Elephas maximus indicus: one gene and its partners. The protein of the gene in region 2 purifies or fractionates together with the protein of the main gene of each other region. This does not show direct contact. Links are inferred from orthologs where the notes say so. Each region holds a gene or a part of one and is shown on either strand. Other genes may lie near its edges.

What was found.
Region 1: the proteins of CSNK2A2 (region 2) and EIF3A purify together in Homo sapiens (affinity purification with mass spectrometry; 3 studies listed by BioGRID and IntAct, with this or other methods). This does not show direct contact. The link is inferred for Elephas maximus indicus from reciprocal best matches to the Homo sapiens genes CSNK2A2 and EIF3A.
Region 3: the proteins of CSNK2A2 (region 2) and EFCAB14 purify together in Homo sapiens (affinity purification with mass spectrometry; 4 studies listed by BioGRID and IntAct, with this or other methods). This does not show direct contact. The link is inferred for Elephas maximus indicus from reciprocal best matches to the Homo sapiens genes CSNK2A2 and EFCAB14.
Region 4: the proteins of CSNK2A2 (region 2) and GPATCH2 purify together in Homo sapiens (affinity purification with mass spectrometry; 6 studies listed by BioGRID and IntAct, counting the BioPlex papers as one, with this or other methods). This does not show direct contact. The link is inferred for Elephas maximus indicus from reciprocal best matches to the Homo sapiens genes CSNK2A2 and GPATCH2.

Annotation. Positions count from the first base shown.
Region 1 is NC_064834.1:69,739,194-69,746,373, forward strand, and holds the start of EIF3A (eukaryotic translation initiation factor 3 subunit A), read right to left. Parts: upstream 3,006-7,180; 5' UTR 2,850-3,005; coding exon 2,801-2,849; intron 1-2,800. UniProt on the Homo sapiens protein: RNA-binding component of the eukaryotic translation initiation factor 3 (eIF-3) complex, which is required for several steps in the initiation of protein synthesis.
Region 2 is NC_064839.1:25,024,295-25,032,170, forward strand, and holds the start of CSNK2A2 (casein kinase II subunit alpha'), read right to left. Parts: upstream 3,017-7,876; 5' UTR 2,951-3,016; coding exon 2,847-2,950; intron 2,043-2,846; coding exon 1,931-2,042; intron 1-1,930.
Region 3 is NC_064821.1:89,340,794-89,348,429, forward strand, and holds the start of EFCAB14 (EF-hand calcium-binding domain-containing protein 14), read right to left. Parts: upstream 3,007-7,636; 5' UTR 1,990-3,006; coding exon 1,808-1,989; intron 378-1,807; coding exon 229-377; intron 1-228.
Region 4 is NC_064842.1:6,778,476-6,786,188, forward strand, and holds the start of GPATCH2 (G patch domain-containing protein 2), read right to left. Parts: upstream 3,011-7,713; 5' UTR 2,900-3,010; coding exon 2,844-2,899; intron 1-2,843. Other genes in the region: SPATA17 (spermatogenesis-associated protein 17), read left to right, coding at 3,292-3,359. UniProt on the Homo sapiens protein: Enhances the ATPase activity of DHX15 in vitro.

The DNA of each region.
Region 1 (7,180 bases), on a different chromosome or scaffold from region 2:
ATGATTTGAGTCTTCTGTCTTTATCCTAATTGACATATAAGGAGATTAAATTGGTCAGAATTATCTAATTAGAAGGAAAGAAAAGTTTTTGAGGCCAGAAAAAAACTATCATACATACACTAAAGACCCTATTCCAATATTTTTAGGAAACACTGATTTCCAGATTGATAGTCTTCAAACAAAAAAATTTAAATCTGGAATTACAGTTTATTAGTTTTTTTTTACTGGGACTGTGGGCATTCTGATTTACCTTTCAGATACAATAACTGAAACTATGTATCCATAAGAAAAAAAGTATAGGTAAGCCAGCCATTCTCATCTATTAGTTTACGAATAGTGCAACAGACAAAGTAAATAAGCTATAACATTACTCTATTTGTGGCTTTATAACAACTTTATCATTTTTTAAATCACTGGTTGTAGGGTACAAACTAAAAGGTTTTTATAGGGTCAGGAGCAGCTCTTCAGCAATACTAAGGATATAATCTAGAAAAGGAGCTTTCTTCATTTTATTGTGGAGTATGAGTTTGCTGTAACTGCTGAGCCAAATTCTCCTCTTCCTGAATGATTACTGTAACTTTTTAATGAAATATTGCTTTGATATACAGACTTAAACAGGCTTTAAGGACTATTCTACTTAAGTTTGTATTTTATTAAGATAGTGCAATAATTTGGGCCTAAATGCTTGGAGTTACAAATGTTATAGATTTAAAAAAAAAAATTTCATAAAATTATTTCCACTGAATGAAATGTACTTTTATAAGCCCATTTTAAAGTTTTATAAGCAGTGCCTTATGATTTCTTCACCCACAATGTGCTCACCTTGAGACTTTGAAAAGGAAACCCTCATTCACAAGATCAAAGGGACAGGAGTTACCACTTGGAAGGTAAAAAAAAAAAAAAGAATCTCTTCCACAGAAATCTCCTTCCCGCAGCTTAAAAAAGCTGCGGAAAGGAGTCAATACAGATTTTAAAAAACAAAAGCTACACAAATATCCTTTTCTCATCTTGCCTACTTTAATTCTGGACACTCTCCCCAACTTGCTGTACAAGTCCTTTTCAAAAGCAGTCAATAGAACAAGATTTTACATAAATTATATAGCTCTCCTAACTTAAAAGTTACTAAAATATTAAATTCATAAGATTCAAAGAGGAGGAATAATGCAGATGTCCTGAACACACCAAATGTGTCATATTTAAGCCATTAAGATTACAGTGCTTCAATCTATCAGCCTGTGGAGAACACCTGCTGGTAAAGCACACAAAAAAAGTACTGTAAAACAAATCTACAACAGCAACGTCGAGCAGTAATTTCATCTAAGTAATTCTGTATGCCATACAAATTTTTTATGTCCTTCTGAATTTCAAAACACCAAAAAAAAAAAAATTCAAGCTTTGCTACAATTTTGTAGTGCTAAGTTTTAACTTAAATCTACTTTACCTCCTATAAATTGACATCTTTAAACTCCATGCCTGTTCTAACGATTAGGCCGCTGGTTAAAACGACCACTAGTCAGATTCAAATTGTAGTTTTTTTTTTTTTAAACAAATATTTTATTTTATAGTCTGTGGGATTAGCCTATTAACAAACAAGCATGTGACCGACACAAATCTGTCTTGACAGATTATCTATCAGTAGGTATCAGTGTTACCTATTAACTGAAACTGACCTTTTTACCTGATGCATTTCCAAACAAACTCATGAAACTGTAAGAAACACGGAATAGCCATGGACACGATCGGAAGCTTGTCTGGGTGGAGAAAAGTGGAAATAAACCCTACGGACGCCCGAACGCCTAAAAATTAATTAACCCTACACAGGAACTTTCTTAAAAGAGCAGAGACGTGCATAAATACATATGCACCCCCATAATGGCAACGTAAATGCTTCCTGACTAGATGGAGACTTGAACTCCGGAAAAGAAAATTAATTTCGGGACACACACAAGTTTTCCCGCAAGCGGCCGCGGCTAAATTACACGTATGAAAACAGAACTCGCCAGGCAGCAGAGCTTTGGAGAAAAAGGGACTGGTCTGGACGTCAAGAGACCTTGGTTTTCTTCTCCTGGCTCAACAACTAAGTCCTGGAGCTTCCTTGGGCCAACCATCCTCTCTCCCTAGGCCTCAGGACGCAGTCTGTAAGCGAGGACGTGAACCCTTTAACAGTACTGACTCTGTTCCAACTTCCTGCGATTCCGAAGTTTGGGACTGGCCCTAATCTTCACCTGGAAGCTAGAACCAGGTTAAGTAGGTCAGACGCCCCGAGTCGGGAAGAAAGTGGCCGGGGGAAGCTAAGTGGACCGCGCCCCAGCGCAGTCCGCCGCGGGGTCTGGGAGCAGCCGAGTCTGAGGGAGGGCCGGAGGTGGCACCGCCAGGCCCCCGGCGCCGGCGGGAGGTGGAGCCGGGGCTCTCGCGTGCATTGTCCCCGGGAGGGAGCCATGTTTCCTCCGGCCCGGCACTCCCAGATGGCGGCCGGGGGCGCGGGCTGAGGCGCACGGAGCCCGCCGCAGGCGACGCGGGGAAGGAAGTCGAGCCCGAGTGGGGCCCGTCTCCGGGAGCGCGGTGTCCGCGGAGCAGCCGGAGGGGGCGCCGAAGGGCCCCGGAGCGACGGTTCCCGGCTCCGCGCCTCCCACCCCCGGTCGGTTGGCTCGAGAAGAGGACACCCTGCCCGGGCGCGGCGGTGTCGGTGGCGGGCAGGCCGCGTCGGCCTCGTCTCCGGCCGCAGCCCGGGCGGAGCAGCGGGAAGCAGGCCCGGTTCTTCGACCTCCGAGGCCTCGGGCCGCCCCAATTCCCTACTCACCGTTAGCGCGTTTGAGGGCATTTTCCGGCCTCTGGAAGTAGGCCGGCATCTTGGCGGCAGGCTCAGCTCACCCGGCCTCAGCGAACTCCGTAGCGGCCCGGGGCCGGGAGCGGAGACGAAGGGGAACCAGCGCAGGGCTCCACGCGCCTCGCCAGCAGTCGCCCGCGCCCAGCCGGCCAGAGACGGAAAGGAAGAAGCCACGTGACCCCGAAGCGGCGCCGCCGCGGTCGCCCAGGCCCCGGATGTAGGGGCGGGCCTCGGTGCGCGCGCCGCACCTCCCCGCGCGCAGGCGCGCTGGCGTCACGCGCGTCCGCTGACGTGGCTGTGGCCGCGTCCTCCGCGCGCGCTGGGAGTCGAGGCCGGCGGGCTCCGGCGCTACCTCCGGACTTCGCAGAGTGGCGTTAGGCACCTGCTTCAGGTCCCTTCCCTCTCCTTGAGCGAGAATCGGGGTGGGAAAGGTGAAATTTGGGTCAGAGTTTCTGCCTGGCGAAAAGGCAGGCGTCTGCACAGATTGATTTTTAACGTCATTTCTGCAGTCATACAAAGTTAAAATAAATAAGGCTCCCTGCGGCCAGGGAATGGGTTCTCTTAGCTCAATGAAATGCTAAATTTAATTCGTTTAACCGGGATGTATTGAGCTACTGACCCCTGGGAAGTGATACGGCCCTGCCCCGTGAGGAACAAGCACGGGGAAGGGAGGACGCAATAAGTAAGCAAATAAGCAAGATTATTTCATATCTTGGTAGAATAAAAAAGTCGGAGTCACCTCGATTTGAGGTGAGACCTGAAGGATGGGAAGGGTCTATGGACAGAGCGATCTGGCAGAGAGCAAAAGCCTTGGAACAGAACAAATTTGCATAATGTCTGCAAATACAGGGGAGGGTGGTCGCTATTACCGAGCGCACGTCACAAACGAATGTAAGAAAGCGAGTGTTAGTGAAAAAAATCCATTTATAACAGGCTCTCTGCTACAGTCTTTTACTATTGATTAACACTTTTAGTGTTCCAAAATTAATTAGCGTACCTAGAATTTGAGAGACGTTTAAATAGAATCTAATTTCTCAAGCCGTTGGTATGAAATTGAGCTGAGTTCAGAAGGCAAATTCAGAAAGCAGCAGTGGAATAAATTAATATAAACTTATTACACATTTTGTAAGCTGGGATATGTGAACTAATGAGGGGGTACTACCTTAATGAGGAAACCACAGTACATACACGAAAAACATTTCCCCCACAATCCTTCTGCCTCAGCTAAGAGGTCTTTTAATTTATGACCATAAAGAAAACTGGAAAATCCAGACATGGACAAAAAAATTAATTTAAAAAAAAGTTATTTTAAAATTAACTTCAGAGAGTTCTTCCTCTTATGGAATGCTTAAACTACTCTATGTAGCTGAGCTTACTCCCAAAAAAATGTGACCCACCAAGGGTTGATACAAAACGAACAAGTACTAAGCTACAGGAACAGTTTTATGGCGCAAGATCAAGAGACTCATTTGTGAATGTAATAATTAAGTCAAAATTAAAGAGATAAACATAAGAGCAAATCTTCCTTTAAAGCACTGTAGATAGAAAATTATTTAGTAGTCAATAAAGAGATGCAAAAGAATTAAATAAAAGGAAACCTGTCTAAATGTCAGAAAAAGAAAAAGCTTTCCAAGATTCTTACCTTTCCATTATCGTCTCTCAAAGAAAATGGCAAAATGAACTTGTTAATTATTACTCATTGTTTGGTAGACCTACAACAAGCCAAACACTAGAAAAACAGGAGGTAAAATGAAATCCAGCATCTTTACATCGCTGATCCTTTTCCCTGTAAAATTATTTAAAGTATGTGAAGCATTTGGTAATAAAATAGCTATGTTAAGTGCATTAAATAGACTTATTTAGAATCTAGCACCATATTTTTGAAAGAGTAAAGGTATAATGTCAACTTTCAGGATGAATTTGCCTATTAAATTCGATTGCAGGTACTCAGTACCAGTACAGGCATAACGTTAAATCCAATTGCCGTTGAGTCAAACCTGTTTGTGGTGACCCCATCTGTGTCAGACTAGAACTGAGCTCATATGGCTTTCAATGGCTGATTTTGGAAGTAGACTGCTAGGCTTTTCTTCCAAGGCACCTCTGAGTGGACTCTAACCTCCAACATTTCAGTTAGCAGTGTCCCACCATTAACGATTTTCACCACCCAGGGACTCTTGGGTTAAATGCAGGGGATAAAGAAATGTATGATACCTGCTTTCAAGATGTTAATGGTGGCTGGGGTGGATAAAGGACACAATGAGAGACAATATAGGGTCTAATCTGAGCTAGGTTGTTGTTGTTAGTTGCCATGGAGTCAATTCTGATTCATGGCGACCCCATGTGTGCAGAGTAGAACTGCTCCATAGGATTTTCAAAGTTGCGATCTTTCAAAAGTATATCACCAGACATGTTTTTTGAGGCACCTCCAGGTGGATTTGAACAGCCAACCTTTTGGCTAGTAGTTGAGCACCTAACCATTTACACCACACAGGGACACATAACCTGGGCCAGGGATGAAGCATAATTACTTGTCGTTGATTAATGCTTGCTTAGTAGAAAACAGGTAATCTGAATATGATAAAATCCAAACCAAACCCACTGCCATCAAGTCAATTCCAGCTCATACCAACCCCATGGGGTTTCCAAGGTTATAAATCTTTATGAAAGCAGACTGCCGCATTTTTCTCCTGTGGACCAACTGGTAGGTTCAAACTGCCGACCTTTCGGTGAGCAGCGAGCGCTTTAACCACTGTGCCCCCCAGGGCTCCTTAGCAAGTGGTAGGTAAAAGGAAGCAATCGGGATGATGAAGGTTTTTTTCTAATTAAGCTACTTTTATACTATATATGACTGGATAAGTTATCTAATAAAATATTTTGGGTTTTTTTTTTTTCCAGTTTGAGTGGAGTGAGGGAGATTCACACACACACACAAAAGAGCTGTTAAGGACACACGAGAGGCATTGCATTATACGTATTTGTAACATAATATCTTACAGCTTGAAAACAAGTATCACTTTTAAGAAAAAACAGAAACAAGTGTTGGCCAGTCTGTGGAGAAATTGGAACCCTCATCCATTGCTGGTAGATTTGTAAAATGATGTAGTCACTGTGGAAAGCAGTTTGGTGGTTCTTTAAAAAGTTAACCATTGAATTACCATAAGACCCAGCAATTCCACTCCTAGGCATATACCCAAAAGAACTGAAAGCAGGAATGCAAACGCATACTTATACACAAGAGCCAAAAGGTAGAAACAACCTAAATGTCCATCAACAAATGAGTGGATAAACAAAATGTGGTACATACATACAATAGAATATTATTCAACCATAAAGAAAAATGAAGCCCTGACACATGCTACTACATGGTCAAAATAAGTCAGTCACAAAACAACAAATATTGTATGATCCCACTTACATGAAATATCTAGAATTTGGCAAATGTAGAGACCAAAGTTCATTAGTGGTTACCATATGCGGGGAGAGGGAAGGGGGAAGTCATTGCTTGGGAGACACTGAGTTTCTCTTAAGGGTGAGGGAAAAAGTTGGAAACAGCATACTGATGGTTGTACAACGTGATGAACGTAATTAATGTCGTTGAATTGTATGTGTAAAAAAGGTTGAAATGACAAAGATTTTGTTTTATATATTTTTACCACACAAAGTATCACTTTTTACAATGTACGAAGTGCTTTCACATTCATCGGGTTATTTACAAGAACGCTGTGATGAAGGTATATATGTACCTTCAGAGAGACAGGCTAAGGTCCACAGTTACCAGCTGCATATGATGTCCCAGGTCCAGAGACTGGTACAGGGCTTACAGCACTGAACAGGGCAGGCTTAGTTCCTGCCTTCATGGACTTTGCAGTCCAAAGGTAAGACAGACCTCAAACAGGTGGTTCATGAGAACAGAGACACCACTGCCATCCAGGCTCCCATCATCCCTTGTCCCAACTCAAACAGCCCCCTAACTGTCCTCACTGCCTCTACCCTGGTCTTCCTGCAATTCTTTCTCCATGTCAAAGCTTTCAGGTTTCTTTGTATAAGCCTTCCTCCAGGATTCTTCCCTGCCCCCCAAATTATTCTGTCTTAGCACTGGTCAGATTCCCCTGCACTTATGTGCAGACTGTAAGCTCAAAGAGGAAAAGGGCCACGTTTGTGTTGCTCACCCCAATGCCTGGCAGACGGGAGGCTCTCCAAAAATGCTGGAGGGATGAATGAATCCCCATATAAAGATTTATTCAAGCCCTGTATAAAGGTTTATAGGGGAAGCAGTGAGTTTCTTTTACGGTGATGGGAAATTTGATATTGATTAAGGCTAATGGTTGCACGACATGATTAATGCAATTGTCA
Region 2 (7,876 bases):
CACACTCCATTAATTTGAGCATCAAGGGGGCCTGCCTCCCAAGTTTTACTCCAGAAGACTCTGCCCAGTGTTAAGACCCTACAAACCAGTGCTAAAGAGAACAGTAAGAGACAGGAAAAGATAGGGAACAGGAGCTTGAGTGAAGGGTCATTTCAACATAATGATGTTAGAAAAGTTTCTTTGTGCCTAGGCTGCCCATTTGTAAAAATAACCTATAGCTTCCATACTGGGTTCCCTAAACATATCCTGAAAATATTTAGAGCAGGGGAAAAACAATCCAGCAACTGGCCCTATGAAGTTCTTTAGAAGGCCGACAGAAGAGCAATGTAATGCTGTCCTAAATGAACACACCGGTATTTACACTTACACCTGACTGCTATTTCTTTCAAAAGGACACCATGGGAGGTTGCGTGCTTATGCTAAAAGTGCTGTCACTGCATAAAAGTTTAGACATTTTTCTAGAATTGCCTTAGAGTCAGCAGTTTACTCTCCTGAATGTATAGTAGTGGAATGTGAAAATTTCTAATTTCAATTTATGTCCTGCTTACTTCCTAGAAAGATGTGAAGCAGCTTTTATTAAAAACATTTAGGCTTATCTACATAAAGGAATAAACTATATGGCTTCCCAGATGACCCCTCTGGGGAAAATTTTATTTGTTTTAAAAAAAAAAAAAAAAAAAGGACCCGTGACTTTTTAGGTGAAGCCCATATTTAGGGAAGAGGCAAGTCCAACTACACACCTTTAACATCAACTTGTCGCCAGTGTTTCTGACAACACAAATAACTGCCTATTTCTCTCTACTGCTATTCTGCTCCTTCATCACCAGACTAGGATGGTTCCGAGTGATGGAGCCAAACGCTTTGCCGAGAGGTGATTTTCAGACACCATGAGTCTGACCCCTCCTATTCAACAGGGACTATCTACACAGCTGGGCTACCACTACCCTTAAGACAGATTTTTAATCTCACATTCTTATTCGACAAAACCTTTGCAAAATGATCATACTGGAAATTACATGTATGTAAAGTGTTTATGTTACCCTTGAGTCTTCTGAATCTTTCACTAAATGGTATGTACAGGTATTAAATGACCTGACCATAATGTGGGCCCATCACAGATCTTAAGAGTTACTTTTCAGTGCACCCTGTAAAACATTATTAAAGCTACACAACTGATCACATACCTAAAGGAAAGTTTAGACAATGCTTCACGCTCATTAAGATAATGTCTTCATTCATGAGATAACAAAATGTGTATCGTTATCAAACTTATGCCACTAAACCAGATCTTAAGACCATTTTGTTCCAATTATCATCTCAGTGATTACAAATACACTCTCCTATGCTCCAAATTTCATTTTTACTAGCTAACACACAACGATGAACCTTTTCGGCATAACTGGCTCACCATTTCCACCCCACCTGAAACTTTACCACTAAAGTAGAAGAAACACTTGACTACCCACTGAGGCGTTTCCCTTCACTTGAGCTTCAAACTCATCTTTGAAGTGGCTCCAATTTTTTCCAGTGTTCTTTCTGGAATAACTCAGAGCACCAAGGGTGACAAAAAGCTCCAGCTGCCCTTGGATTGATGGGTGCCTCATGAAAAAGGTTTTCTTTCCTCTGAACATCCATTTACTTCGTAATAAATGGAGTCCCTTTGGAATTTTTTGCTTTGGGAGCCCATAATTTAAATTTCAGATCAAGGATGGTTCCTAAACTATCATGTTTAGATTTGAGATCAGTCTGCATATTTTCTTGGAAATTCACAGGAAAATGGGATGGAAGGAATAGTGAGGGACATCGGACAAAAAATGATATGCAAAATGAGAGCCAGCACTGCTTATTCTAGGATGTGACTGCAGTGGCTAGCTATCCTTTTGACCTGTGGAAAAAAAAGTATTTTTAACGCCCCTCATAATACACTCACCTTGAGAATTTTTACAACCACTCTCTCATTGTTGGTGATGTTAATGGCCTCAAATACTTCACTATACTTTCCCCGACCAAGTTTTCGAACCAGTTGGTAATCATCTTGATTACTGTGAAAGGCAAAAGACACACATAAATGCCAGGACTTGGGTTAACCAAGCCTACGTCCACTATACACTTCATCCAGCCTCTTCCGTTAATCAAGCACTTGGAAGTGTCTATACATCACATCACGACACATCCCTAAATGAAAGCCACAACATAGACCTGGCTCCCTTCACTCTGCACAGAGCTCCTAACTAGTCCCTGATAACTTGGGGGGATGAGGGAGGAAGGCACCGCTCTGAGCCAGTCTGGCGGGAGACCAAAGCATCCATCCTGGAGGACCACAAGGTGCCCCTCTAGCCCTGGCTCCCTCGCTCCTGCTTCATTTCACACCCTCAAGGTAGACAGCGCCTACTTTGAGAATCTGGACGTCCTTAAAAATTTTTCTCTCACCCATCTATCTCCATTTCAGGAAAAAACGAAAAAAGCAGAGAATTTTAATAGCTCAGGGGGACAGCTGTTTAGTTCCAACCCCAGCAGAAACCCAAAGGTGCGAGGAGGAAGGGCTGCCCCCTCACTTCCATAGGCTCTAGCCCCTGCACCCTGTACTTCTCCCCAGGAAGAAAGCATTCCTTGGAGAAGGCAGACGGGTTCTTCGCAAAGGTGGGAAAAAAGGGAGAGTCGGAAACGGGGACAAGGACATGCGTGAGAGGAGGCACGCTGCTCCCACCCCAGACCCGAGAAGAGCTGGCCCAGGAGAGGGGCAGGCGGAGCGGCGAATCGCCGGGGGACGAGTGCGGTCCCCGCTAGAGGGAGCCGGGCGGGAGAGGGGGAGCCAGGGGGCCGGCGAGGGACGGCGGCGGCTTTACCCCCAGCTCGGGACGTGCGCCTCATAGTCCCAGTACTCGCGGCTCCTCAGGCTGTTCACCTCGGCGTAGACCCGGGCCCTGCTGCCCGCGGCCGGGCCGGGCATGGCGGGCGGGACCGGGGGGCGCCGCTGGGCGCAGAGAGCAGCGGCGGCGGCGCGGCAGGGGGCGCGGGGCGGCGGGCGGAGGCGGCGGCTGGCCGCGGGGCGCCGGAGGAGGAGGAGGAGCGCGGCGGCGGTGGCGACGGGCGGCCGCGCCAGGCCGGGCCCGCGGGGGCGGACGGGCTGGGGGCGCGGGGGGCGCCGGCCTGGCCGGCCCGGCCCAGGAGCGGCCGGCGGGGTGGCTGGGCGGGCGGCGCTCGCGCTCCGCAGCGGCCTCGGTTCGGCTGGTGGCCCCAAGGTGGCGGCAGCAGCGACGGTAGCAACAGCAGCGGCAGCCGCCGGCCGGGAAAGGGGCAGCGGCGGCGGCGAAGAAGGAGGAGAGGAGGAGGAAACCCGGAAAAGGGGCCGCGCTCGCTAGGAGCGACCGCCGCCGGGCCAGGCACCGCCCGGGCTCACAGCGCCCCCTGCAGCGCGGGGGGACCCGCCGGGCGGCGCCGGCCCCGCCCCCGGCTACCCGCCGCCCCCCTCCCGGGTCCAAATCGCCCCATGCTCAGGTGTCCTGACGCGCTTACCCCAGGACGTTCCCCACCCACGGACTGCTGCCCTGGAGCCTTCGGACCCTTTCAAAATTGTCCTGGAGACCCTTACCGCAAGCCCTCACCCTCTAGTCACCCAGAGTTTCCCCACCTCAAGGCCTCCTATACTTGACCCTATTCTTACCCTCCTGTCACCCAAACTGTTCCCATAAAGTCTCTCCCCAGTGACTCCTTCTCCCCACCCAGAACTTCCCCCCACCCCAAGGTCACTTCATCTCCCCCAGAGGACCCACTCCCCCTCTGGACCCTGCACTGTCACCCGCAGACCTAGTGTCTCTTCATCCAAAGCCTTCCTCACAAGACCTTTCTCATACACTTTTCCCCCAGTTCCCTTCCAGAACTTTCCCTGAACACCCTCTGAATGGTTACTTTGGTCACTTGGTTGAGCTGGTGCCTGCCAGGTTACTCCACTGTAAAGTTACTATTTTCCCCTATGTAATTAATAAGTGATTTGTGGGGAGATAGTTTGAGACTGTGAAGATACCTGTTTTAGTTTGGGAGGAGGGAGAGCAAGAAAAGGTGTGAGGGTCTGACCTGAAGGGACAGGCCAGGGGTTTAGGATGACTGAGGATGGATCAAACAAACTTTGGCCTATTTTATTCTGTTGCCTCCTACCTCGGAACCCTCCTTTCTCTTTGATCTTCTGGGCCTTCTGTCTTGCTATGCCATCCCATGTCTTCTATCACAGAACCTCCTCACCCAGCCAAAGCTGTTCTGACTCCAACCCCTTTTCACATTCTGTTTTCCAGGTGAGACACTGCTCGCTACTCTGTGGTATAGTTAAGAGCACAGACTGTGGAGTCAGATCAATACAAGTTTGAATCCCAGTTCTGCTACTTAAAAGCTCTGTGACCTTGGGCCAATTACTATGTTGCAGAGTTGACAGCACAAAGCCAACAAGAGCACTTACTTTACAGGGCCATGGGAAGAATTAAATTAAACCTTGTAAAACATTTAGATCAGTGTCTGGTAGATACTAAGTGCTCAGTAAGGGTGTTATTGTTGTTAGCTGCCTTCAAGTTGGCCTCCAAGTTATGGCGGCCCCACGTACAATAGAACAAAATGCTGCCCAGTCCTGCCCCATCCCCAGAATTTGTTTTGAATTAGACCATTGTGATCCATAGGGCTTTTTTGGGCTGATTTTAAGAAGTAAATCACCAGGCCTGTCTTACTAGTCCATCTTAGCCTGAAAGCTTTGTTGAAACCTGTTTGGCATCATGGCAATATGTAACCTTCCAATGACAGGCAGGTGGGGGCTGCACATGAGTGCATTAGCCAGGTATCAAACCCTGGTCTCCTGAATGACAGGCAAAAATTCTACCACTAAACCACCCCTGCTACCATTCAATTAGGATTTTTTTTTTAAAAAAAGCCCAAACCCATTGCCGTCAAGTCGATTCTGACTCATAGCCACTAATTACTCAGTATCATTATTTCCAGTCCCAGGGTCTTTCTTCTCTCAGTTTTTCCTCCCTAAGACCACCACACGCCCATCTTTTAGTTCCTTCCACCCTCCAAGATTGGCCAGGGGCCACCTCTACCCCCCTTGACCCCTGCCTTCCCTTGACTGGATCTTTTTTCCTCTTCAAGTCTCACCTTAAAGACTACTTTATCTAGAGATGATACTTCTCTATATCCACATCCTCCAGAAAACTGCATATTTAATTAATTTATTTCCTAGCTTATTGTCTGTCTCCTTCACTGTCCAAACAGCAGGGGAGCAAGGACTGCGTCTGTATGCTCACGGCTGGCATACCCAGTGTCTGCCACAGTTGAAGGTTGTCACGAATACAATGTTACCCCATAGATTACTTAGGAATTACAATAGGGAACCAGGAGGTCACTACCTTAACTGTGGACCAAACTAACATCATCAAAAATAGAACCAACTGACCCTCTGGTGTGATGTACCAGAAGGAACACGAATCACCCATGTATTACTCCTGCCAAAAATGTTGACCTAAATCTAATTACCAGAACACAATCAGACAAATCCAAACTAAGGGACATTCTGCAAAGCAACTGGCCTGGACTCTTCAAAAACATCAATGTCACAGGGGGGAAAAAAAAACCCTGGAGTAGCATTCTTGATTGAAGGAGACTGAGAGACTTAACTAGAAGTAGGTTTGATTCTGAATTACATACTGGATAAAAGTAGGGGGCGGGAGGGAGGGAGGAAGGAAGGGAGAATACAGCTAAAAAGGCACTATTGGCACTACTGGGGAAATTTGAGTACAGGATATAGTGCTGTCATTGGATGCTGTTGAGCCAATCTTGACTCATAGTGACTCCATGTGACAGAGTATGCTACATAATAATATTGTATCAAGGCTGAATTTTGTGAGTGTGACAATTGTGCATATACAGACAAATCCCTTGATCTTAGGTGTTATATGCCAAGTGTTTAGGGATGAAGTATCGTAATACCTGCAACTTACTCTCAAATGGTTCTCCAAAAAAAACATGGATCTCTGAGAGTGGAGGCATAAGCACAAGGGGGCAGGAACAGAACTGGGGAGAAATGAAAATAATTGGTGAGTGTGCAGATAAGAGTACAGGGCCTTTCAACTTGTTGATAGACTTGAAAATTTTCAAAATAAAAACTGGAAGAAAATAGAGCATTTATTAAATAAGTGTTGTCAGGTATCGTCGAGTCGATTCTGACTCATTAAAAAAAAAAAAAAAAAAACCCGTCGCCGTCGAGTTGATTCCAACTCAAGGCGACCCTATATGACAGTAGAACTGCCCCATAAGGGTTTCTTGGCTGTAAGGCAGCAGAACACCAGGTCTTTCTCCCTCGAAGCCACTGGGTGGGTTTGAACTGCTAACTTTTAGGTTAGCAGCCAATCGCTAAACCGTTGTGCCACCAGGGCTCCTTAGGAAATAAGTAGACTTTGGAATTTAATTCGCAAACATGCAAACATTCTTAAATTTCTCTTGAATAAGATGGCACAAACATTTTCATACCGGTAACGCAGTCTTAGGATTTTTTTCTGACAAGTCCCTATGAACTAGTCTAGATCAGAGGTTCTTAATCTTCAGCTCCTGAATGAGCTTCTGTGTGTGCATTCTTTCCTTAGCATCGATCAGATTCTCAAAGGAGGCCATGACCCAAAAATGGTTCCCAACCACAGGTTTAACTACTATGCTCAGTCCAGCTGGGGCCCCATCCCTCGCCTCCACCCTCGCCCACCTCTGACCCCACCCCTCCTCCCTGCACCTTCCTCTCATTCCTCACCACCTAATCCACACCCATGTCACATAACTTGCTCCCACACCTGCCAAGATACCTGAGATTTCACCCACACACCACTCTGGTGCAACACACTCCTGGATTTGGCTAACGCTCACTAACTCACCCTGAAATCAGCAGGCAGCCCTCCCACGGCCAAGTGGAATATGTTTTTATGGTTTGTTAGTAAGTAGGTTGGGTGCTCCATGGAACTGGTGGAGACACACTGCCTCTCCTTCCTGCCTGCCTGATGTGCAGCCAGTTTGGCCAGAGCTAGGATGGTCAATTGGCAGTGGTAACAAGGCAACCCTTGCCGACGGTGGGGGGTGGGGGGTAGGGGGGGAGAGCTGGCTGTCCTGCAGGGCAGGGAACTCAGGGGACCAGAACTGACTTCCCCCAAATACTCTGTGTCGGGTATGGGGGTGCACATAATTCAGGATTACACAACAGGGAATAAAAGAGGACATCTTGGGTCAAATAGCTCAACAATTTCATACTAACACCTGTTCTCCCAATTCTATCCAAACACTGAACAAATAGAAACAAAAAACCCTCAATCAGAATACCTTGTATCTTCGTAAGATCTATTTCCAAAAGGTTTGACAGGCTCACAGGCTTTGACCCTGTATTACTGCTTCTTAGGAATATAAGAAAATAATGTAACTTATAAACAAAAAATTAATAGCGATGGCAATTTGTGTGCTTACGGTATGTCTGGTGTGCCAGGTTCTTCCTGACACCAAGACCTTGGATCCTACAAAAACCCTATGAGGCTAAAACCCATGGAATTTTACAATTTACATGGGTGAGTTGTATGGTATGTGAATTACATCTCAATGATGCTGTTATTAAAAAATGCTATGAGGTCAGAGCTGTTGAACGGATCTTCTTTTTGCCAGTGAAACAACCAAGGCTCCAGTGATGCTAATAACTTGAGGCAGAGCCTGAAATTGAACTCAGGTCTTTCTGACAACAACCGAGTCCATTTTCCTAACCCCTTTCTGATTCAGTATATCTCCTAAAAGGCCCAAAGATGTCCATCACAAAAATCATCGTTTTTACTCGTGAAAAATGTGAAGCAAATGAAACATCCCAGACCGAGGG
Region 3 (7,636 bases), on a different chromosome or scaffold from region 2:
TGTGATTTGTCCTGATGGTGCGTAAGCACTGTTTTTTGTTAGAGGGTTTAAAAACAAATAACTGTTAAGCATTCAAACTGGCAGCTAAGAAAGTGTATAAAAACATGGAAGCAACATATAATTGCTTCATCAGACTAGGTGAAATGCTTATTTAATTCAATTTGGTCCACTTTATCCTAGGACCTGGAAAAGATTCCAAGATTACACTCTGCAAGAGTAACCACTTACTTGTTCTAAATTTTTCCTTGAGGGCATCCAGATCCTCCTTGAGAGCAACTTGCATCCACACCAAGCCAACGCAGGCCACGACACAGGCCGCGAGGATGACAAAAGCACAGAGGGGATAACAGATCTTGCAGCATCGTAAATAGTCTCCCCTGATTGTAAGAACAGATACAACTATGAGTACAGAAGTGATTCCGAGTGCAGCTTTATTAGAAATAGTATGCATGTGTTGCCGTGCAATTATCTTCCCTAATCTTTTTTTTTTTTTAAATCTTACTGTGGGGCATAGGGTAATGCACTTAAGTCTGAACTGCAGGTTGAACGTGACTAAATAATACGACCTACGAAGAGTTCATCTATCGAGTACAAAGGTTTCAAACTGCACATGGAACAGGAGTTCCTGTGGGCCACAGGAAGCACCTGTGGGCACTGCAGCTCATGGCCATCATCATAAATTCAGGAGGGGGGTCTTTGGAGAGACGCTCAGGTCAGAAAAGTGTAAAGACTATTGCTTCTCTGTACTGTAATTTACCTACATCCATTTGTTTCACTTTCTCAGACACACATGCCTTTATTCCAGGGGACCCTGTTTCAGTTTACTGAAACTACACAAACTTTTGAGCAAGTTTTACTGCAAATGGAATGAAAGAAATACGATCTATTGGTTTAAGTGGACATCTGATACACTCTAGCTTATTGGCTCAGAAAGAGGAAACATAGAAAGGGGCTGGATTTCACACCAAACTTCAACCCGCACTCAGGGTCTGAACTAATCCAGTAGGGTGACTTTCAGGATTAATGCTTCCTCAGCCTTTCACACTCCAAACCCAGGATGGTCCTTAACTACCTAACTTGACAGAACTCTTTAGAAAGCAAATTCTTTGTTTAACAAAATAAAAGAACAGACATTCTAAACAAAAAAAATACCTCAAACAAAAGATTTTAGCACCTCAAGCTTCTGCCTAGTCCTTGCTTGCTCCCTGAAAGGGTCCAAGGGTACTTTCAAAGCTCCCCTTCAGCTCTTTCATACCCTAAGCCCCATTCCCAATGTCCTTAAAGCTCACTACTACTTGATTTGTCCAGTGGCCACTCCATCTAAAAGTGTTTTAGGAAAAAGCTGCCTCTTCTTTTTGTCCCCACGCTTCATCTACTCTCAGGGCTCATACTTCTTACACTATGTCCTGCATCCTATTTCCCCATTACCAAGATTCAGGTTCATTAGGAGTGCAAAAAATAAGTAATACGCAGTCTGAATGTCCCCGTCTCTCCTGCATTCTTTTTTAGAGACCCTATCCCCAAAGCTCCTCTGTCCCTATGTCTCTGTTCTTAGCATGTCTTCTCCCACCGTGCACTTCCTGTGCTCTTGGCATATCCCCCAAGTCCACACATTCACCCTAGATTCTGAGCTTTTCACACTTACAGACAGATCCCTAATCTATCCCTCATTCAGGATCTGTACTTGTCTTCTACCTAACACCTTTTCTCCCTCTTTGCCTTCTAAGGTTTATATCCTTTTTTCTTCTCTTAAATTTGCCCCTTGGTAGTGCAAAGATGTCTTCTTCCCATCCCACCCCTCACTCACTTGACAAAGCGAGAGCGATTTCCAACTACACCGAATTCCTCTTCTTCCTCAGAACTGGACTCAGAGTCTGAGTCAGGTGGCTCAGTGCGAAGCAGGCGGTGGCCCGAGCCTTTCTTGGGCTTCTTTCTTCGGCTGTCCCCAGCTAGGCCGATCAATGCATTGAGTTCTTTGCGCTTTTTCATCTTCTTGTGGGGGGTGAGTGGAGCACCCACTCCTGAGCTGCCAGGTTCGTACCCTACGCCCAATTCTCTGGGTGCCTTGGAGCTGCCTTCCAGGGTGGGGAACTCTGGGCTGGAGCCCCCTAGTCACTCCCACCCAGGGGTGGGACTGACTAGATCCGCTAGGGACTGGAAGTTGGAGCCCAGAGAAAACTGGAACTCAGATAGGTGGGGTAAGTCACATAGGGGAAGCCAGGAAGCTGGTGATCCAAATGGTTAAGGCCCTAGATCAATTAGTTAAAAGGCTGGAAAGAGAGTAACTTTTTATCTCCCAAAGAGAGGAAAAGCTAAATCAAGACTGATTCTCAGCCCTGATAAGCCCGTAGTATTTCTAAGGGTGCTCTAGGAGCTGGGGAAGGGCACACCGGTAGTGTTTTGGAGCTACAGTGTAGGATTTCCAATAGAGAGAAAAAAGAAGCTTGTTTTTGATGAGCACAGAGGGGAGTGCAGAGGAAGACAGTAGGAGCGCGTAACCCCTCTCTGGCTGGACAACTGGCAGGAGGGGGCTTCTAGAGGCTGCCACCCCGACACAGCCCTGGAAAGCGCCGGAAAAATGCCTGGGCCAGGAAGCCCTGGTCTAGGGTGTTCACTGTTCCCCGGCCCCCGTCCCGAGTTTGAAGGGAGCCCACGAGAGGAAGACCCAGAGCCCGGCTCCGGGATTCGGCCTGAGAAGGGCCAGTCCCGCGCCTGAGAAGACCCAGTCCTGCTGCCTGGGCCCGGGGGGCGCAGCGCTGAGGGGTGACCCCAGCTCAGCCCACCTGAAGCGCTCCTGCCCAGAGTTTGAGATGTTCTGGCTCAGGCAACTCTCGGCAACTCACACGCACCGCTCCCACTGCAGCCGCGACTCATACCCCCGCCCCGACTCGGGCCGCGGCTGCTCCCGACGCGCTGGTGGCGGCAGCGGCGGCCGCGGGCTCCAGACCCGGGCCATCGCTCCAGCCCCGGCTTACTTCCCCCTTGGCAGCAGCCTCTGGGGCCGCCTGCCAATAAGCCACGCTCCCATTGGTCTCCCTCCGGGTGACGTCACCCGTGGGCCCGAGTGGTGGCGGGGAGGCGGGGCGTTAAAGGGGCCCTGGCTCTGCCGAGGTCTGGGCCCCGCTCACCGGTTAGAGGAGGCCCCGCCCCCGGGAGGGCCACCTGGGACCTTTGGCTCACCAGAGCTTAGGCGGAGTTTTGTTCGCTGGAGAGCTGCGGCGGGGTAAAGAAAACATCCAGCTGCTTGGCAGGCTTCGAAAGTTCCTCAACTGCTTCACTAGTGAACTGGGCTAACCCAGGCTAGAGGCTCCACCCTTCTGATTCGCTATTACCGAAAGTTTAGACGTGTTTCAGATTAACGAAACACTGTACACATTCATTTCATTCCGTAAATGTTTATTGAGAGCTTACTGGGTGCCAGGAGCTATTTTAGCGCTGGGGATACAGCAATGAACGAAACAACCATTGTCCCTGTCTTTCTGCATAGGGTTACCGGATTAAGCAAATAAAAATACAGGACACCCAGTAAAGTTTGAATTTCAGGTAAACAACGAACAATTTTTTTTTTAAGCATAAATATGGATCATGGAAACCCTGGTGGCGTAGTGGTTAAGTGCTACAGCTGCTAACCAAGAGGTCTGCAGTTCGAATCCGCCAGGCGCTCCTTGGAAACTATGGGGCAGTTCTACTCTGTCCTGTAGGGTCGCTATGAGTCGGAATCTACTCGACAGCAGTGGGTTTTTTTTTTTTTTTTTTGGCTCATGCAACGTTTGGGACATACACTAAAAAGTTATTTATTGTTTATCTGAAATTTAAATTAAGTGGGCGCCCTGTATTTTCTCCACCAACCCTATCCCTGCAGTTTAAACTCTGGAGGGAGGAGAGCAACTACAAGCAAACATAATAAATGTCAAAAAAAACAAACGTTGCGGTGGGGTGGATTCCTACTCAGAGCAACCCTACATAGGACAGAGTAGAACTGCCCCATAGGGTTTCCAAGGAGCAGCTGGTGGATTTGAACTCTTGGTTAGCAGCCCATCTGTTAGCCACTGCACCACCAGGGCCTCTATTAAACGTTAAAAACAAACAAAAAAAAATTAATTATGGGGAAAATCAAAACATGATAAGGGGATGGGGACTGCCCTGTAATAAGGGGACATTTGATCAGAAATCCAAAGGAAGTGAGGGAGTGAACTGTGCAATGACCCTCAGGAAGGGGTGACCAGGAAGACCTGGTGTGGCTGGACCTGAAAGAGCCGAGTGTTAGGAAAGGAAGTCAGAGAAGTATCAGGGGCCAGCTCTTGTAGGGCCTTATGAACTACTGTTAGGACTTTGAGAGCCCATTGTGGGGCTTAAACTGAGGGGGAACATGCTCTGGTTTAGTTTTTAAAAAGATCATTCTCACTATTGTATGAAAAACTGAATGTGGAGAGGCTGGCAAAGGAGAGTAGTCTGGAGGCTATTGCAACAGTCCGTTTAGACACGATGACAGTCTAGAGTGGCAGTAGTGAGTGATCTGGATGCTTTTCGAAGGTAGAGCTAACAATATTTGCTGATAAATCAGATGAAAGGCATGAAAAACAGAGGAGTCACAGATGACACCTAAGTTTTGGGGAGGAGCAACTAGAAGAATGGCATTGCCACTTGCTGAGATGGAGATGAGCAGGTTTAAAGTTAAGTACAGAGGTTAAGCGCTGTGCTGCTAACAGAAAAGTTGGCAATTTGAATCCACCAGCCACTCCTCCGGAGAAAGATGTGGCTGTCTGCTTCTGTAAAAAATTACAGTCTTGGAAACCCTATGGGGCAGTTCTACTCTGTCCCATAGGGTTATTTTGAGTCGGAATCCACTTGATGGCAATGGGTTTTTGGTTTGGTATGGATGGGGAGAAATTAAAAGTTCGTCGTGAACAGTTAAGCTTGAGAAGCCAATTTGATAATCAAGGGGTGATGTGGAGTAGGCTGTTGGGTATGTACGCTGGGGGTTCTGGGCAGAAGTTGGAACCTCAAATGTAAATATGGGAACCATCAAATGTAGATGGTATTTAAAGCAAAGTGCTTTCAGCTACTTGGAAAAAAATCAAAGCAATTTTTATACCATATTCTTACGGGGGCAATTATACTTTGTCCTAGGAATTCCCACTCAAAGCCTGGGCCTGTATCTTATTTGTCTTAAAACATTTTTTTTATTGTAGTAAAAATATATATAACAAAACATCTGCCAATTCAATAATATTTACATGTATAACCAGGAACCCAGGGCAGTGGGGCAGAGCCAAGGATACAATGACTTGTAGTTAACCAGACAAGATGTCTTTTTGTCAATTCACCTTGTCTAGCCCAGAGCAGGTACTTAGTGTCAATGACCCAATAAATATGTGATGACTACTTAAGTGGGAAGGAGCTTTGGTGGCATAGTGGTTAAGTGCTTAGTTGCTCATGGAAAGGTGGGTGGTTCAAACCTACTCAGTGGCTCTGCAGGACGAAAGACCTGGCGATCTGCTCCTGTAAAGATTACAGCCTAGGAAACCCTATAGGGCAGTTCTACTCTGTCCTGTGGGGTCGTTATGAGTCAGAATCCACTCGATAGCACACAACAACACGGAAGTGGGCAGAGTGCTATGGAGGTATGAGTGGCATTTTGGAATCAAGAGGTCTGGGGTTAGATTATGCCTCTACTACCTACTACCTCTGTCAACTTGGAAGCCATTTCACTGCCCTGAGCCTCAGTATTTTTTCTCTGTAAAGTGGAGTAAACACACCTATTTCTACAGGCAGACAAATAAGAAGATGCTTGTGTAAGTGCTTTCGAAGCCCCAAATTATGGTGCAGTCCTGTTTTTGTTGTCTTCTTTTGTCTCTACAGCTGCACTGTCTATACAGTAGCCACTGGCCACACATGGTAATTTACATTTACACTTAATTAAAATTAAATAGAAATTTAAATTTAGTTCCTCAGTGGCCATATTTCAAATGCTCTAGAGCCATATGTGGTCAGTGGCTACCGTATTGGCAGCACAGAAAAGAACATTTCTATCATCACAGAAAGTGTTATTGGGTAGCTCTGTACTAGAGCTTCTGGTAAGGACGGGGCACGGACAGGAGAGAGGATGGTGTCAGGTGAGAGATAGGAGATGGCTAAAGAAAAGGGGGTGGGGTCTCTGTGTTAAGGTTATATTTGATCAGAGGCCTGAAGGAATTGAGGAAGTGAACTGTGCAAAGACCCATGAGACTGAGGACCTAGAACCTTTGGGTCAGATTGTTCTGCCCGGTTCCCTGACTTCAGGAACCACTATATAAACACATCTTGTGGTCACCAGAAGCCCCAGGCAAAAGAGGTGGCTGCCCAGGGCAGCCAGTCCCACTGGTAGAGAAACCCCAGGTTTGGGTTGGGCTTGTGGCTCTCTTGTGTGTAGATGCCACATCTTCCCCGAAGGAACCAGGGGCTGAGGAACCCGGGGCAGCCAGGCAGGGCCAAGGATGCATCACCCAGCTGCAATGGCTTCTGGTTAGCCAGACTCTGCCCTCTCCACAGCTAGAGACCTCTCCCAGGACTGGCCAGTGGACTATTGGTGGGTGGGGAGGCTGAGGACTAGAGTCGAGAGTTAAGGGGATGCTTCTGCTGGTTCTGTCCCTCAGTTCCTCAGCCTGCCTGTTTGTCTATCGGTGTGTAGATACCATCCCACCCTGTCTTGGGTAAACATCTCACAGGATACTGAGTCACCCTTTGAAAGTTGCTAGGCAGGTGTTCCTCCTCTTTTTTTAGGAGATCTTGGTTACCTCTCTGGCCTCCTCCCTCAGACCTGGAACCCTCAAGGTCAGGGATTGAGCCAAGCCCCTCAGAGCTGGGGGTCCTGCACTGAGAGGCCCATGTTGCCCAGCCCTCCCTCCCCCTGCCCCAGGACTCTCCAAGGGTGTGACCCATCTTCTCATATGTTCATATGGGGGTGTTCTTATTATGACCTTATGCCAGTGGAGTCCTCTTAATCTTTCCAAACTTGCCTGAAATGCAGTGGAATATATCAGGGAGAGAGAAGGGGCCTATGTGAGCTTGAGCAAGTCACTTCCCAGTTCTGGTGCTCCAACTTTCCTGTAGGTAAAATGGGGATAATGACATTCTTGCCTAGCCTTCTGCTCACTGTTGCTTAGGAGGGGCATGCAAGTGCTTTGTATGTTGTAGAGTGTCTTGCAGAGTGGGTGCTATTATCTGCCAAATCAGCTCTGTGCGGAAGGTGGGCAAAGGTGATTTCCCTGTGCTCAAAGTCATAGCCTGTCTAAGTGGCAAAGCCACATCTTGAGACCGTGTGCTACCTTGGAAGATATCACAGAGTACTTTTGTTCAGGAAACCGAGGCACAGAGTGGGAGCAAACTTGCCCAGGGCTATAGTCAGAAATTTGATCCAGGTCTTCTAATTCCTGGGCTGAAGCTCTTTTTTTGAGATCATGGGATCCTGTCTCATCTGAGATCCAAGTTCATGTCTGAACTCTGACACTTGGCAGCTGTGTGATCTTGGGCGAATTACTAAACCTCTCTGAACTTCCGTTTCCACTTTTGTGAAATGGTTGTAATGATAGTATCTAGGGTCAGCTACATAATTTGTGGGGCCCAGTACAAATGAAAATGCAGGGCCCCTTGTTCA
Region 4 (7,713 bases), on a different chromosome or scaffold from region 2:
TGCTATTTAAGAAGCTGTACAAAGATGAATGAGTAACTTGCCCCAGCTCATACCGGTCTTTGGTTTGAGTCCTAATCGTTGAAACAGAAACTTGACTCAAGCAATCCCAACAGTACAAAATTGAATGATGACAACAAAAAAAGCTACTTAAAAAAATGGATGTTTTTCAATTACCAGCCTTCCAGACCTAAAGAAAACTGAAATACCAAATAAGAATGAAACTGCAAAAACAGAGGTCCAGAGCAATGTGGTTTACCCTACTTTCAGCGGCTTTTTAAAAAAAAAAAGCCACTTAAGAATGTTAAATACACAGAATACTACAATTCAATACGTCAATGTTTCAACATTTTCATAACCAAGGACTATTGTTTTTAATTTGTTTAGTTGAGACTTCAAAGTCAAAGAAATCAGAAACTGACTTGAAAAATAAACCCATAATAAAGTAAAAGGTAATAAGGAACCGAGTATCTAAATTCTAGATGTGATTTGTACATTAAATGCGCCAAATTTTAAAAGGCAGGTTAATGTCTGAAGTACCAAGACAGATACTTTCCGCACCCTGCCTTAAAATGCGTGTGAGTGAGAAGATAGGAAGGAGGTACAGACACTCTCCAAACCATAACATTTTCTTAATAAAAACATAATGTGAACCATATATAAGATTAACTTACACAGAAAATATATTGATTTCCTGACATACTATGAGATTTTTATAATTTAATTGCATAATATTTTTCTTTCTTAGATTCTTAACTATAAAATACCAGTTTTGATTTTTCAAATAAGAAATAAAATCATCTACATTTACTCATTTGGTGCCTAAAATGTGAAAACCTATCCTCCACGCTGGAGAAAAATTTGAAGAAGCCTAGATGGGGGTACTCCGTGTCAGTTTACAAATCTGGACATTTGCTTTCTAGGGTGTTATTTCTTGATGGGTTGTACATTACTCCGACACACAGTATACAACAGTGGTTAAGAATTTTTTGTAGGTATACCATACCGGAATCATACTGCAAATATGACACTTTTTTTGTGTTATTTAAACCATCCTTGGCTGGTTTCGCCATCTGTAAAATACAAATAATGATAGCACCTACCTCAAAAGATTTACATAATATAAGGATGTAAAACCTGGCACCAAGTACTAAGTAGTAACATCCCCATTGGTGCTGGGATTTTACCACTGGGAAGAAACATACATGTATGGTATAGTAAATGCTCAATGAATGAAAAAGAATTTCATTAACAAATTTTGAATGAATGGACAGTTGTGCAAATAAACTAAAAAAATAAAGATTCCAGTAAACACATTCACCCTGCCAAAGTAGATATGATTTTAAGAGTTTCATTCGAAAACGCTGATAAAGTACTAGGTACCATGTTACATTCTGGGGCCCCAATATGAGTTGTATGCTGAAAAGGAAAGGGGACAGGCTTTTAAAAAGAGGACCGAAGAAGTGTTTCTCTACACTCTAAAAGAGGTATAGAGGGTAGCAGCTGAGGGAGGGAGAGGAAGCTGCGTCAAACCAAAACCACCACAGCAAGAGAAGACCCAGCTACAAAGCACATTTTGTCTCCTTCTCTTAACAAGATATTGAATGGTGAAACATCAAGAAAGGTGTCCTAAAGAGGGAAATCTCCTGGGTGATTATATCCTATATCTTGCTTTGTATGGTGATTTATACGCAAGTATATAGAACTGCCAAAACTAACCAAACTAAACACTTAAGAACTATGCATTGAAAAACTTTTTTTAAAGGAACATAACCGAATCCATACGCATCATAAAATAAATGCAGGATGATCTGATCCATTTCCAAATATTTGGGGCAAGAAATCCTTTTGACTTTTCAGTGATAGGTGAAGCAAAAGAAATTGAGGCTGCAGACTGCTAGAATTCTCCCCACCCTCTGTTTCTGTGGAGTCCAGGAGTGGATATGAACTTTTTAGCCCACCTTTCAACTGCTAGTCAAAGCATTATGTCAGAGGATTGTCAGTGGGAAATCTGCTTGTGTTTCACTGTTTGTCTTGTGTACGCTTGGAGGAAAAGGGGGTGGAAAAAAATAAGACAGGCAACATCACAGTTTTCAACTAGAAATCCCCAAACCAGCTTCTAGCTCTAGGACAATAAAGTACACAGGGAAACTTTATGCCAATGACTGAAGTATTCTGCGCCTGTGACAACCTGCTATCTCAGGGTCGCTGTAAAGATAACGTGTATTAATTTGTGAAAGCACTGTGGTAAGTCAAAGCAATGTATCATGTTGAAGCGGCACTGATGATGTGATATCATAGATGAAGTCAAACCCCAAACATAATTCTGATATTCGTGTGTTTTAAAGTTTCGGGAACACCCAGAGACATCACATGTGAACTGGAATGGTTGGTTTAAGGGGGTGGACACAGGTAGATGACCCCTTCCCAAAACAAGGACATGAGAGGGCGATGTCTCGCACTACTAAACGTCCAGAACTCTTCCAGACTTGATCGCCCAGGATACCGGGCCCGACCTGGTCCGTGTTAAAGGGGGAGCGGGCGAACACGGCCAGCTCGAGGGGTTCACACTTCTCCTGCCCAGGTGCTGCACACCCCACGGAGAGAGGAACCTCGCCCCTAAGCAGCGCAGGGTGCTCATCGAGCAGGACAAGCATGGACTGTACTCCTTCGCCAGCCCGGAGCCCACGCCTGGACGCCTGCCTCCAGCTGGGCGGGCGCGGGCGCGGGTGGGGACAGGCCCGCGACTCCAGGTCGCCCACGGCCACTCCCTCCCCGCCAGGCCGGGTCGGCGGCCTCCGGCCAGCGCGCCCGCTCCTCGCCCGCCCCGGGGCCGCCAGCCTCACCAGCTGTCCCCGGCGGGCGGAGCTCCGATCGGCTGGCGCCCGGCGGCCCCGAACATTAACGACACCCGGGGGCCCGGCCTGGAGGCTCAGGCCCGAGAGCAGGCTCCAACCGCCGCAGCGCCGGCGACTCGCGGGGGGCAGCGGCGCATTTTCGGAGCGGCTTCCGGAAGCGGCGGCAGCGGAAGCCGGATGCTCGGAGCAACCATTACTTCTCCTCCCCTCGGCTCCACCGCCCCGTGTTGCCCACAGAAGACACGCGAGCAGTTAAATTAAACCTTGTCCTTCACATAAAGCTATTAGTGATCTTTATAGTGTTTTTGAAGCCTAAAAAAAGTGAAAAAGCAGAGGCGTGAAAGAAAAGTTGAACCCCCGGGACTGGCCTAATGGTTTACCCCGTTGCCATAGAGACCGGTAGTAACACCAGGTATAAACCCGGAGCCGAGGCGCTATGGCCACGTTAGCTCGCCTGCAAGGACGGTCGGCGGCTATCGGAAACCAATACTACTTTTTGAACAGGTAGGTCGCAATTGAAGGATCGGACTGGACGAAGGGCTGGAGTGACCCTAGCCCATTGTCTCTCCGGAGGAGTTTCCTATTAACAAACTCCCTAATTCAGTACTTGTCACCCATTTCTCCCCTTAATTTGTCGCCTGTATGCATTTTTTTTTTTATGCATTACCAAGAGTTCAAAAGTAGTGTTGCCTTTCAGGCGGACTGCACCTAACGAGGGGCCGTGAACATTTAAGTTGAGATGGTTTAAGTAAACTCCCAACATAGATAAAATTGTAAAGTGAAGTGTTTTACTTTGACATTATCCCTCCCCGGTTTGATGAAACCACCATCCCTCCTGCTGAAGATTTAATATACTGACTGGGGTCATCCATGCACCCTAGCTTTGAGTTCCGTGTAGCCTCTATCTGTCTAGGGATTGGGACCGCCATTAGTTCACAAGCTTCTTTGAACTCAACTTTTCTACCACTCATTTGCTCAGAGCCAGCCCTCATTTATCTTCTTAAAGTTGAAGTATCTAAACCATTCTGATAAAATACTTAGTTCCAATGTATTAATTAATAGGAAAATCCTAAGGACAACACTAGCAGCCTTCTCCATCTCTCTACACCCAAACTTTTCACCCAGTTACAGGTTAATATTAATAAGGGTCTTTTGGAAGCAATGTCCCAGGAGTTTTGTCCAACTTACAAAGAAACATCAAAAAAATTAATTAGACAATTATAGAATATAATGACGTGGAAGACCATTGGAAAACATGTCAGTAAGAAAGGATTGACCTTTAAAATTCTAGTATTTATTCTTTTAGGCACCTTGTACCTCTGTTTTATACCATGTATCAGAATTCCATTTTACGTTCTATTGTGAGATCATTAGATTAATATCTATCGCCCCTCTTAAACTAGAAGTAGAAGCAATGTCTACTGTTTGCTCACCATTCTTTCAATCTCCAGTGTCTGTCACAGTTCCTAACACATAACAGTGCACAATAATTTGTGTTTAAGTGCTGTTAAGTCAGTACAGAATCATAATAACCCTATGTACAACAGAACGAAACATCAGTCCTGCCCCATCCTCACAATCATTGCTATGCTGGAGACCATCATTGCAGCAACTGTGTCAATCCGTCTCTTTGAGGATATTCCTCTCTTTCACTGACCCTCTACCGAGCATGATGCCCTTCTCCAAGGACTGGTCCCTCCTAATAACATGTCCAACGTATGTGAGACAGAGTCTCACCAGCTTCACTTCTAAGGAGCGTTCGGGCTGCACTTCTTCCAAGACAAACTTGGGGCACAATAACTCAGTCCATAGAAACCATATATAACTTTTTAAAGATATGTGAGCATAAATTAGTCTAGTGTATGCCAAATTCTTTTTTAATTGGCTCAGCTACAGAGGAAGGTGTATGTAGGAGAAAAATCAAGAAAGCAGTGGCTAAGGAAGAGAGCTAGAAGTTCTGCAGAGACATACTATAGGGACCAAGTATCCAAATCCCAAGCTCCCCGATCTCTCACCACCTGCTATGGGACATGTGGATGGCATGGGGATAGAGAGACGGGAGTAGAAAGAGAAATTTTATTGAATGCCTATTATGTGCTAGGCACTATTAAGTAATTTCACAAACATTGTTTTAACTGATATTCACATGAATCTTATGAGGTGATTTTTATTAGTCGTACCCTACAGCTGAGAAAAGCAAAATTTAGAAAATCTAAATTACTTGTCAAAGATTAAAAAACCAGTGACATTTGTCTATCTCGGGCCAAAGCTTATGCTTGGGGTAACAAACCCGTTGTCGTAGAGTGGACAGAGTAGAACTGTCCCATAGGGTTTCCAAGGACCACCTGGTGGATTCAAACTCTTTTGGTTAGTAGCTATAGCTCTTAACCACTACACCATGAGGGTTTCCATGCTTGGGGTAGTGGGACTTTAAATCATTAAGACTGCATGGAAGTAGGTGGATCATACACATAAGGTCCAACCTGCTCTTTCCCCACGTGTCTGACAGTTTGTCATACTATGGGGGCTTGCATGTTGCTGTGATGCTGAAAGCTATACCAACAGTATTCAGATACCAACAGGGTCACCCAGGGAGGACAGGTTTCAGCTGAGCTTCCAGACTAAGACAGACTAGGAAGAAGGACCCAGCACTCTACTTCTGCAAAGAATTAGCCAGTGAAAACCTTATGAATAACGGTGGAACACTGTCTGATATAGTGCTGGAAGATGAGCCCCTGAGGTTGGAAGGCACTCGAAAGACAACTGGGGAAGAGCTGCTTCCTCAAAGTAGAGTTGACCTTAATGATGTGGGTGGAGTAAAGCTTTCGGGACCTTCATTTGCTTATGTGGCATGACTCAAAATGAGAAGAAGCACCTGCAAACATCCATTAATATCTGGAACATGGAATGTACGAATTATGAATCTAGGAAAATTAGAAATCATCAAAAATGAAATGGAACACATAAACATCGATGTCCTAGGCATTAGTGAGCTGAAATGGACTGGTATTGGCCATTTCGAATCAGACAATCATATTATCTACTCTGCCAGAAATGACAACTTGAAGAGGAATGGTGTTGCATTCACTGTCAAAAAGAACATTTCAAGATCTATCCTGAAGTACAATGCTGTCAGTGACAGGATAATGCCCATATGCCTACAAGGAAGACCAGTTAATACAACTACTATTCAAATTTACGCACCAACCTAAGGCCAAAGATGAAGAAACTGAAGATTTTTACCAGCTTCTGCAGTCTGAAATTGATCAAACATGCAATCAGGATGCATGATAGTTACTGGTGACTGGAATATAAAAGTTGGAAACAAAGAAGGATCAGTAGTTGGAAGATATGGCCTTGGTGATAGAAACAGTGCCGGTGATTGAATGATAGAATCTTGCAAGACCAACGACTTCTTCATTGCAAATACCTTTTTTCACAGACATAAATGGCAGCTATACACATGGACCTCACCAGATGGAACACACAGGAATCAAATCGAGTACATCAGTGGAAAGAGAGGATGGAAAAGCTCAATATCATCAGTCAGAACAAGGCCAGGGGCCAACAATGGATGTGACCATGAATTGTTCAGGTTCAAGGTGAACCTGAAGAAAATCAGAGGAAGTCCACAAGAGCCAAAATATGACCTTGGGTATTTCCCACCTGAATTTAGAGATCATCTCAAGAATAGATTTGATGCGTTGAACACTAACGACCGAAGACCAGATGAGTTGTGGATGATATCAAGTACATCAGACATGAAGAAAGCAAGAGGTCATTGAAAAGACAGGAAAGAAAGAAAAGACCAAGATGGATGTCAGAAGAGACTCTGAAACTTGCTCTCGAACATCGAGCAGGTAAAGGAAAAGAAAGAAATGATGAAGTAAAAGAACTAAATAGAAGATTTCGAAGGGCATCTCAAGACAAAGTAAAGAATTATAATGACATGTGCAAAGAGCTTGAGATAGAAAACCAAAAGGGAAGAACACGCTCAGTGTTTCTCAAGCTGAAAGAACTGAAGAAAAAAATTCAAACCTCGAGTTGAAATAGTGAAGGATTCTATGGGGAAAATACTAAATGACGCAGGAAGCGTCAAAAGAAGATAGAAGGAATACACAGAGTCATTATACCAAAAATAATTAGTCGACATTCAGCCATTTCAAGGGGTAGCATGTGATCAGGAACTGACGGTACTGAAGGAAGAAGTCCAAGCTGCATTGAAGGCATTGGTTAGCAGCCAAGCTCTTAACCACTGCGCCACCAGGGCTCCCCAGGAGACTTGTTGTTGTTAGGTGCTGTCTAGTTGGTTTCAACTTACAGTGACCCTATGTCTAACAGAAGAAAATACTTGGTATGTAAATAATTGTCACTACGGAAACTGGAGTTGAGGTGGGGAATTGATACATAAATAATAATTAAAGAAATACTAGAAGAAAACTTTCCTAAAGAAAGAATTGTGAATGTGACTGTAAAGGGCTCACTGTGTCCTAGGCAGTTTCTTGTTTGTACTTTAGATGAAGGTTTACAGAACAAACTAGCTTCTCATTAAACAGATAGTACTCATATTGTTTTTCTGACATTGGTTACTAACCCCACAACATGTCGACGCTCTCCCTTTTCAACCTTAGGTTCCCTGTTATCAGCTTTCCTGTCCCCTCCTGCCTTCTAGTCCTTGCCCCTGAGCTGGTGTGCCCTTTTAGTTGTTTTTTTCAAAAACACACTTCTTAGATATTATCGGTGAAAGTCCTGAATTTTAACGATATAGAAAGCAATCTTACAAACTCCTACTCTAGACAGAAAAGAAAAAAAAGTTATTTACCAAGGAAGAAACCCCCATTAGATGCCTCATCTACAG